Drosophila melanogaster: one gene and its partner. The protein of the gene in region 1 interacts with the protein of each later gene in a pairwise test. Each region holds a gene or a part of one and is shown in the gene's direction. Other genes may lie near its edges.

Region 1 (3,851 bases):
AACTGGAGTGGGAGATGCGTGAGAAACAAGCCGAGGAGATTCGAAAGCGGGAAGAGGAATACATGCATCGTTATCAAAACCAATTACTTCGCCATGAGGAGGATATGCGAGCCCGTCAGCAGGAGAACGATTTGCTAATGCAGGCCAAGAAACTCAACATGATCCTCGATCAGCAGGAGGGATTCGGAGGCAGCAACTCTGGATTCGAACACTTTGATTCCCCTTTTGAAGTATTTGGGAACAACAGCAACAATTCAACAATGGCTGGACCTGGAGGTCCAGATAATAGCGACGGAAACCAACACGGACACATTGATTCATGGGGACACCGACGCTTCTAGACACTGAAACCTATATAGATAGCGACGAAAACAATAGTGATCTCATTAGTTACGCATAATATCGGACATTTCGCTCGGCTATGCGTGAACAATAACATAAATAACAAATGGGATCATGCAAGCGAAGATGCATTCATCTCATTATAATATAAATTGAATTTATATAATTAACCAAAAACTGTTAAAAACGGTCTCAACAACAAATCCACCACGAAATATTAACACAAAAATGACAAAATCCAAACACGAATGGCAACTTACAAGATGTGCAGTATTTCGAAGAAAAACACCTGAACATAACCATCCATCATCCATTAGATATATGTAGAGACTACCTCCTAACACGATTAATTTTTGTCTATCATTCAAATTAAATATTGAATGCGACTGAAATTACTGATTATTTGGAGTCGAATATAGATAAAGAGCCTAATTTTTATAATCGTAGATTATACTTTGATTTATGAGTAAATAATCGAAATCGGACTTGCTTTTATTTCAATGTATTTCTCATCCCATCTCTGTCTACTTTTAATAAAAACGGCTCTAACCTAAGGTTTCACTGGGAATTTATGTTGGTAATAAATGTGTTAAAGCGGAAAAGTCGGAAAATGCCATCAGCTCTATTGGGAAATCCGGCAATAAGTTGCAAGGCTGTCCGAAAGGACACATTTCCGCCGGTATCTTCAGTCCCACGACGCTGTCCATATATTAGGTCAAAATGCAATCACTTGTTTAAACAAAAGAATTTATTTGATCAACAGAATGAACTATTGTATGAACCCTCCTCCCATTCACCCAACAATTACACAATTGTATTGTACCGAAGCAATCAAAGATTTCAGTTCAATTACCCGTGGTATAACCATCAATTTGAATTTCCTCGAGATGGAAACAGATGGAAACTCTTCATTTTGTCCAAACGTATATATGTATATATATATATTTTTTTGTAGCTTCGTTAAAGTTCATGATAGTTAAGTACAAATTTCTTTTGAAGTAAATTTTTAGCAATAAACTAAAGCTATTCCGTGCCATTGATATAAGAATTTAAGATCTATATTTACAACATTTTATCTGCATATAATACAAGATGTGGTGGCTTTGAGTTCATTATCTAAGTAAGCCGCTGTTGATTTGCTTGATTAACTAGCAAAAGCCAAAATGATGCTTTGCTTTCCATTTTTGTAGTTTCGAATTGAATAGTACGGCAATTTAATTTTTGATTTATGTATTTATTTTATTAAGCCATTTATGGGCTTTTAGTTCTGCTTATAAAAATCATGATATAGTAAATCAATATTTTATGATAGGATGCTGTCAAGATTTTAAACAAAAATGTAAGCCCAAATGTCAGGTGGCATTAGAATTTAGCATCAGATTTTAGCCAAATCAATACAAGATTTTTAATACAAACTTTTAAAACAGAGTTGTAAAGGGAAAAATTCGATAAGTTCCGATTGAAAGTGCAATCGCTGTTTGAGTGAAACAACCCCTGAATCAGTCATTTCAAAACGTCGATCAACGGTCACACTGCGACTTTGGCGACTTAAAAAACACCCAAGAAAATTGATTTTTCGCTCAAACCGAAAGCAACACCTTTGGGCATCAAATAGATTTCTCGGAATTGAACGCGCACCGCTAGGAAACAAAGAAAAGCCAGCATGGCAGCATCGCAGGTTGACCAGGTGAGCGAAGGGTGGAACTGCCGAAAGCTTTCCGGCCGGAAAACGGCGTCGCCATTGAAGCCCCATTAGTTAATATCATAATGATTCCTCATTTTCCGGCATTTTCCAGAAACGAGCACTTAACAAATTAAAGCACGACTTGGAGCCTTTCCGGACAGCCATCGTGGGAGCGTACGGCGTGCTAACCTGGGAGAAGCAGTACTACGCCGGAGTGGTGTTTGGCGTCATCAGCTGCCTGTACCTGGTGCTGTGGTACCTGGACTTGTCGCTGATTACCCTGCTGTCGCTGCTCGGTGTCATTAGCATTTTGCTGAACTACGCATTCCCCATGGTGTCGCGCCTGATCTTTGGCGGAGTCAACTGGGATGGCGACCAGGAGGCCAAGTTCGAGGACGTGTGCGGCCAGGTGTGCGCCGTCAAGGGCAGCCTGGTGGTCTGGTACGAGTACCTCTTCAACGAGCGGAAGTCCACAGTGGTGAGTAGATGCGGTAGAGACCGTGTGTGTATATGTATATGAAAACAGAGAAGCAGTTTCAGGGCCTAGTATGTGCAGTAGATCTTCTTCTGCAAGCTCAAGTGTAAATAAAAACTTCGGGTTCTATTATTATTTCATCTCACATTTATTCGTTTTGATTCCAGTTTGTAATCGTCATGAGTTTGGGTCTTTTGGCTATGGCCTGGATTGGAGCCATCATTAACAATCTACTGCTTATGTACTTGGCCACCCTACTCATCCTCATGTGGCCAGGACTACAGAACAAGGACATTTTTAAGGCCATCACCCAAAGGGCCTCGAAGATTATTAACGAGAAGATCCAGTGCGGCAAAAGGAAGCTGCAGTAAAGGAAAGCAACCAGATAAACTCATCACCATTTGACCAAAAATATAAAACATGCCTAAGTCATCTACTTGCCATTATGCACACATCGCATCACTAAATCACACATTAGGCGCATTGAATTTGAAACTATAAATATCTTAAAAGATAAGAGCAGCGCATACAGAAAAAAAAAACTCGGAAAACTAGCAAATCCGTGGTTCTGGCCCCATCACATCTCCTACTATAAGTTTGTAACATGTAAGACAGAAGTATTCTCGAAACGAGGCGTACGGAGAGAGAAAAAAACGCGCAACAAAAGACAAGGCATTTTTGTGATTATTTTGTGAGTTAATTGAAATTTATGATAATCCCAAGTAAGATAAAAAAAGGAACTTAAGCGTCTAATGAACTATATTTAAATAAAGATTTCAACTAAATAGATCAATCACTGACGGTCTCTTGACCTTGATCGCGTGCGGGACCTGACATGCTTGCTCCTCTTGGTCTTCTTTTTGTGCTTGCTGTGGTGACGACGATGGTTTTCACCGAGGCTGTCATCGCTCTCTAAGCTGGAGTCGTTGTCCGCCTTTCTCGACTTGTTCTTGGACTTCTTTGAGTGTTTTCTTGACTTGTGGCTGGATGATTTCTTCTTGTGCTTCCTGCGTTCATATGCAGAGTCGGAGTCGCTCTCGGTGGACTCTCCCGTATCGTCTGCCTCGTCTGAACTACTCTTTGTTCTTCTGGTGCTTCGGGGACTTTGCGAACGCTTTTGGTCACGGTCTTCCCGCTTCGACTTAGATGGGCTTCTGCCTCTGGGACTCGGCGAACGACGACGCTCACGTTCCTCGCGTTTAGATACAGAGGAGCTACCACTCCGCACATACTTCTTTTCTCGATCCACCTCCTCTTTGTTAGATTTGGCTTCCTTGTACGATTTTCGCTCGTCTTTGTACGTCCTGCGATGTTCGTCTTTGTACGTTTTTTTGTCTTCATATTTGTAAG
Region 2 (4,816 bases), on another chromosome or scaffold:
CTGAGGAATAATACTTTATATTTTATTTACATACATATATAGATAGGTTTTACATGTTTTTCGGGCTATGTTGCACACATATCCAAAATATTCAGTTCATATCCGCACAACTGTGCATTAATATTCAATTGTTTTAACATTGTCGCATCAATCGAAAACCTTAAACTGAATTTGTCGCCCTTATGATAGTCTTGCGGTCAAGTTAAGCACCCATTTTCGATACTTACGATGCTTAAAGCTATTTGCTGGTGGTGCCCAATGGAGATGGAAAAACAGACATTCGTTGATCTACAATTTAGTCAATAATATTATGTAATAACAGAAAATCAAGCCAGCCGAAGAGAATGCGAGAAGAGAGTCGCGGCGATAGCGAATTATGTATTGTTTGTTATGACGGCGGTAGGAGGAGACCCGAGTCAGTTTCACACGCATATATCTATGTATATATTTGGTATTTAAATAACTTGTTCTGTTTTTTTCTTGTTAAGTTTCTCCTTTTTCGGGCCGCGTTCGCTAAGCAGCAAAATCAACAGCAGCGGTCGCTCATTAAATGTTAATTATTATTATTTCTAATATGTAGTCGTAACTTATTGCTATATTTGTCGAAACGCAAACAATTTGCAAACAAAAATATATTCATTTTAAAATGGAAACTTGGAATTTTCATTTTGAAGAGCCAATTTTGCAATATTTATCTATGAAACGCCAGTAAGTAATCAGTATACGGGAACAATTTGGTATCTATGTACGCATACATTGTGTATATTAAAAAATATGGAGTGCATATAGTTCTTGTAGTTTTTTTTTACGTTAACATGATTTCTTTGATGCCATAAATGTTTCTTAACTTTCTTACCTTTTTTCTATAAACAATTTTAAAGTAAAGTAAATTGAGACGTAAAAGGTTTTTTTTTGTTAGTGTCACAAGCCGAATCGCTTTGTTTTTAATTTTAATCAGTTTAAAAGATTTTATACGAAGTAATATGTTTGAAATTTGTAACCGAAAAAATCGCTTAAAACAAACCCAAAGGACATTTTTAGAGATCGCTGGTGTGTAGATTTGTGAGACGGCGATAACTATCGATATTTATATTATATTTATATTGCGAGCTGAAAGTAACAAATAGTTCGGATACTCAATTTTGTAACTAACAATAATTCAAACTTTTCTAAAATCCCTTCTTTCGGCACACAGCAAAAGGAAATATTTGGCTTGGGAGGGTCCGATTAGAAAGATTTAGAAAACTTATATTCATTTGGTGGCCTTATATTTGCGTAAATAGTGCAATTAAAATAAATCTGTTTGATACTTTCTTGAGTCCACGATAAGCGTTCTTTACACAGAGAAACATTTTGAATAATTTTCGTACCTGAAACTAAATTTCAAATTTTGCGAGCGTATATTTCGTATCGATATATTTCTCCAGTGATCTGGGTGTAAAGCAAGCCTGTTTGCGAGGCCAGTGTTGCAAGACGCCGGTTGTCAAGAAAGAGACAGGGAGAGAGATGAATAGAAGGAATGGTTCGTTTTTGTTGGACGCTGGTGTGGGAGTCCATTGATAAGATAAGAGCACCGAAGATTCCCGGCCAACCGCCAGGGGCCTAGATAAGCGTGCCGATTTTTATTGGGTAATAAGAGTTGACAAGATGGCGATTAATTTTCGATCGGGTTTCTTTTTTTCGCTCACGTGCAGCCCAAACAGCTGCTGGGGGTGGCCCATCCCCTTTCTGCCCCTCACCGACTGGTCCAACAATTTCTCTCAAGCTTTTTTGGACGAGCTTTCGCCGTGTTGGCCTTAATTTCGCTTCATGTGTTTCAGTTTATTCGCGAATTCAGACCCTTGCGCGTGCTCACGCTCTCTGTTGCAGCAGCAAAAACCAAAAACCCTCGAAAAGAACAACATTGACTCGAAAAAACCGAAAAATAATTATAATTGTACTTGTACTTGTGTGTCTTTTGTGAGGTGAGCAAATGCGCTGACAGAAACGGGAACTTTTCTACTTTTCTCGCAGGCTGCTGTGAGAAGTTTGTCAAACAAACACGAGTTTTTCCGAAAAACTATATTTGGCAATTCTACAAATTCTACAAAATTGTATTGTTTACCCTTATTATTGTTTTTGGGTCGTTGCTGGTTATGTATCGTAGTTTGTTTTTTTTGAAGTGACAAAACAACCGTTAAAGCAAAATTTATATCGAGCAAATAGAGGAAACCCACAAACCCAAGCGAAATTTTGCAGTGTACATGTGAGTGGCTGCGTTGTATTCGTATCATAAAAGGATCTCTACAAAGCGAGGTAGAGAGCAGTAAGCAGTGTTATATAATAGGTACAATTCGCCGCATAGCAACAAATAAGAAAAATGAAGAAAAAAAAACAAAAAAAAAAAAACCATTCAGATGAATTCGCAATTTAAGTACGGCAGCTCCCTGTTTCCCTTTAACCAAGGCGGCCAGAGCGAGACAGAACTTGATATAGCCCATAATGAAGTGTAATGAAATCTGTGCAATGAAACCCGCCAAGTTTTTTCGATTGATTGCAGCCTCCCGTCTGGCGATTATTTAGCGGGCTGCTAATTAATAAATAAAATGAAAAAGGGAAAAGGGGTTAATGGGTGGAAAACTGAGAACGAAAATTGGGGAGAATCAAGGAGAGCCGCAATTAACACCAATTAGTGTGTGCTTTCGGCGCATTTCAATTAAATCAAAACAAATTCCAAATCAAAATCAAAATCAGAAGCAAACGGGGCTGGCATGCCTGTGACGTCACACAGTCGTAGTTACAATTACGGTACAATCTCGGTTACATTTACAGTTACATAAACGGGAGCGAAGCGGCGAAAAGGATTTTCTCGCCCTCGGGTCCTTCCTCGTTTCGCTTCGTTGAATTTGCCGTCGCTTAACAACTCGCCCCATTTTCACGCGTCTTCGTCGCATTTGGTTTCGTGCTTTTGCGGCGTATACAACGCTCAAAGCGTAATAGAATAAATAATAAGAACGAAGTAAGAAGAAAACCCAAAAGACACATAATAGCGAAAGATAGATTTCTGCCCAGAAATTGACTTTTTTAATTGAACATTTCGAAGGTGTACTTGCGTACGTGTGATTGTGTTGTGCTGTTTTTTTCGGCTTCGCTCTCCCTCGCCGCCTCACGTTTTTCGCATTTGTTGTATAACATTCGGAGCGAGCGAAAGAGGGAGAGCGAAAAGCTCTCCGACAAAATCAGCTGTGATCATTGGCGTTGGCGTGGGGTTTGTGGGGGGGCAAAAAACACAATTAGGCAAAAAGTTGCAATAATAATATGTACACTGATTTTAATATTTTTATAAATTGAATTTTATTATACATTTGTTTATTATTTTTATATTAATTAGATATCATCCAATTACAATTAAATCAATTCTATATGATCTTATTGAAAATCAATGCATATTTTGAAACAGTCGTAATAATTTTGTTATATATGTACCACATTTCCACTTTTTAAAACGTTATTGTAATCGAGTTGAAAACGAGATAACCACCTTTAGTAATCTCTTCGTTACGCCACTGTCTTCCCTCAGATTCGTAGTGATTTGTAGAGATAATAGTGAAATTACCTCTGCTTTCCATTGTTTTCTTTTTGCAGCAACAACCGAGATTGGAGTGCGTTTCAATAACCGTCTCAAAAGCCGAAGAGCAGAAAGCGTAAATAAACCGCAGAATCCCTTGTAATGGCTCTACTCCGTTCGCTGAGCGCCCAACGAACAGCCATCAGTTTGGTCTACGGCCGTAATAGCAGCAAGTCGAGCAATTCCGTGGCCGTCGCCGCCTGCCGGAGTTTCCATCAGCGCGGCAGCGGGAGCACCAGCATCGCCGGAGAAGGAGCAGCATCGGAGTCCACGAGAGGAGTCAATGGAGCGCGCTTCCTGCACAGCGGCGACCGGCCGCTGCAGGCCTCCACTCTGGTCCAACCGGAGGTGGTCTCCAGCGAGACGGTGAAGCGATCGATGAAGCAGGAGTCGTCCCAGGAAAAGAACCCCTCGCCCGCTGGCTCGCCGCAGAGGGATCCCCTGGACGTGAGCTTTAATGATCCGATTGCTGCTTTCAAGAGCAAGACCACTGGAGAGCTAATACGCGCCTATCTCGTCTACATGATATGTTCCAGCGAGAAGCTGGTCGAGCACAACATGACGGTGAGTTAATCGGTGTCCCCCACTCCTCCTCTGCCGAGTCCTGCGACCTTTGACCCTTGAATTGGTCCAATCCATCGACTAGCTGAGATCTCTCTCTCTCTCTCTAGCTCTCTGTTTCTGGTTCTGTTTGCTGAGAAATCTGGGGCTCTGTTAGTACATAACCCCTGCTTAATGCTTTCTTAATATTACAATTAAGTAAGTATCGTTTTAGATAGTGACCGATTTCGAAACCATTTGTTTCAACTCTCGAAGTGTGTGCTGACTCTTCGCCTCTTCTGTCCTCTTCTGCTGCTTTCAACTTATTATAATTCATTCATTTATTTTATAAATACTTCCTTTAAAATGCTTTATTTAAATATATTCATGTACATGGATTCTTGGACACTTGAAGAGTAAACAAAAGTTATGAACAGCTAGGGCTATTGAATTCCATGTATGTATAATGTTAAAGTTGTCTGAAACTGAACGTAGAAGAATATTTAATTTTTTTGTTTGCTTCCTTTTTTCTATTCATGAATTTTTTTGTCTTATTCATGAATTTTTTCGATCCTGCCAAGCTTCCATTCGCTTGATTCCGATTTTCCGGGCAACCGAAGCCCGTGTCAGGTGGCTGGCTGCTTTCCTTCCGATTTTCCGCCCTGCTTC

Evidence for each region. The genes of interacting proteins can lie anywhere in the genome.
Region 2: the proteins of Arl6IP1 (region 1) and slgA interact in a two-hybrid assay, tested with the Drosophila melanogaster proteins (one large-scale study listed by BioGRID).

What each region holds. Positions count from the first base shown.
Region 1 is NT_033777.3:16,641,880-16,645,730, forward strand, and holds Arl6IP1 (ADP-ribosylation factor-like 6 interacting protein 1), read left to right. Parts: upstream 1-1,725; 5' UTR 1,726-2,005; coding exon 2,006-2,029; intron 2,030-2,138; coding exon 2,139-2,504; intron 2,505-2,668; coding exon 2,669-2,872; 3' UTR 2,873-3,292; downstream 3,293-3,851. Other genes in the region: nonA-l (nonA-like), read left to right, coding at 1-341; CG10324 (uncharacterized protein), read right to left, coding at 3,295-3,851.
Region 2 is NC_004354.4:21,372,496-21,377,311, forward strand, and holds the start of slgA (sluggish A), read left to right. Parts: upstream 1-1,816; 5' UTR 1,817-2,245; exon of another isoform or gene 2,246-2,326; intron 2,327-2,926; exon of another isoform or gene 2,927-2,998; intron 2,999-3,614; exon of another isoform or gene 3,615-3,624; 5' UTR 3,625-3,709; coding exon 3,710-4,171; intron 4,172-4,816. UniProt on the Drosophila melanogaster protein: Converts proline to delta-1-pyrroline-5-carboxylate. Involved in the conversion of proline to glutamate, which functions as a transmitter at neuromuscular junctions. Glutamate deficiency could possibly account for reduced motor activity.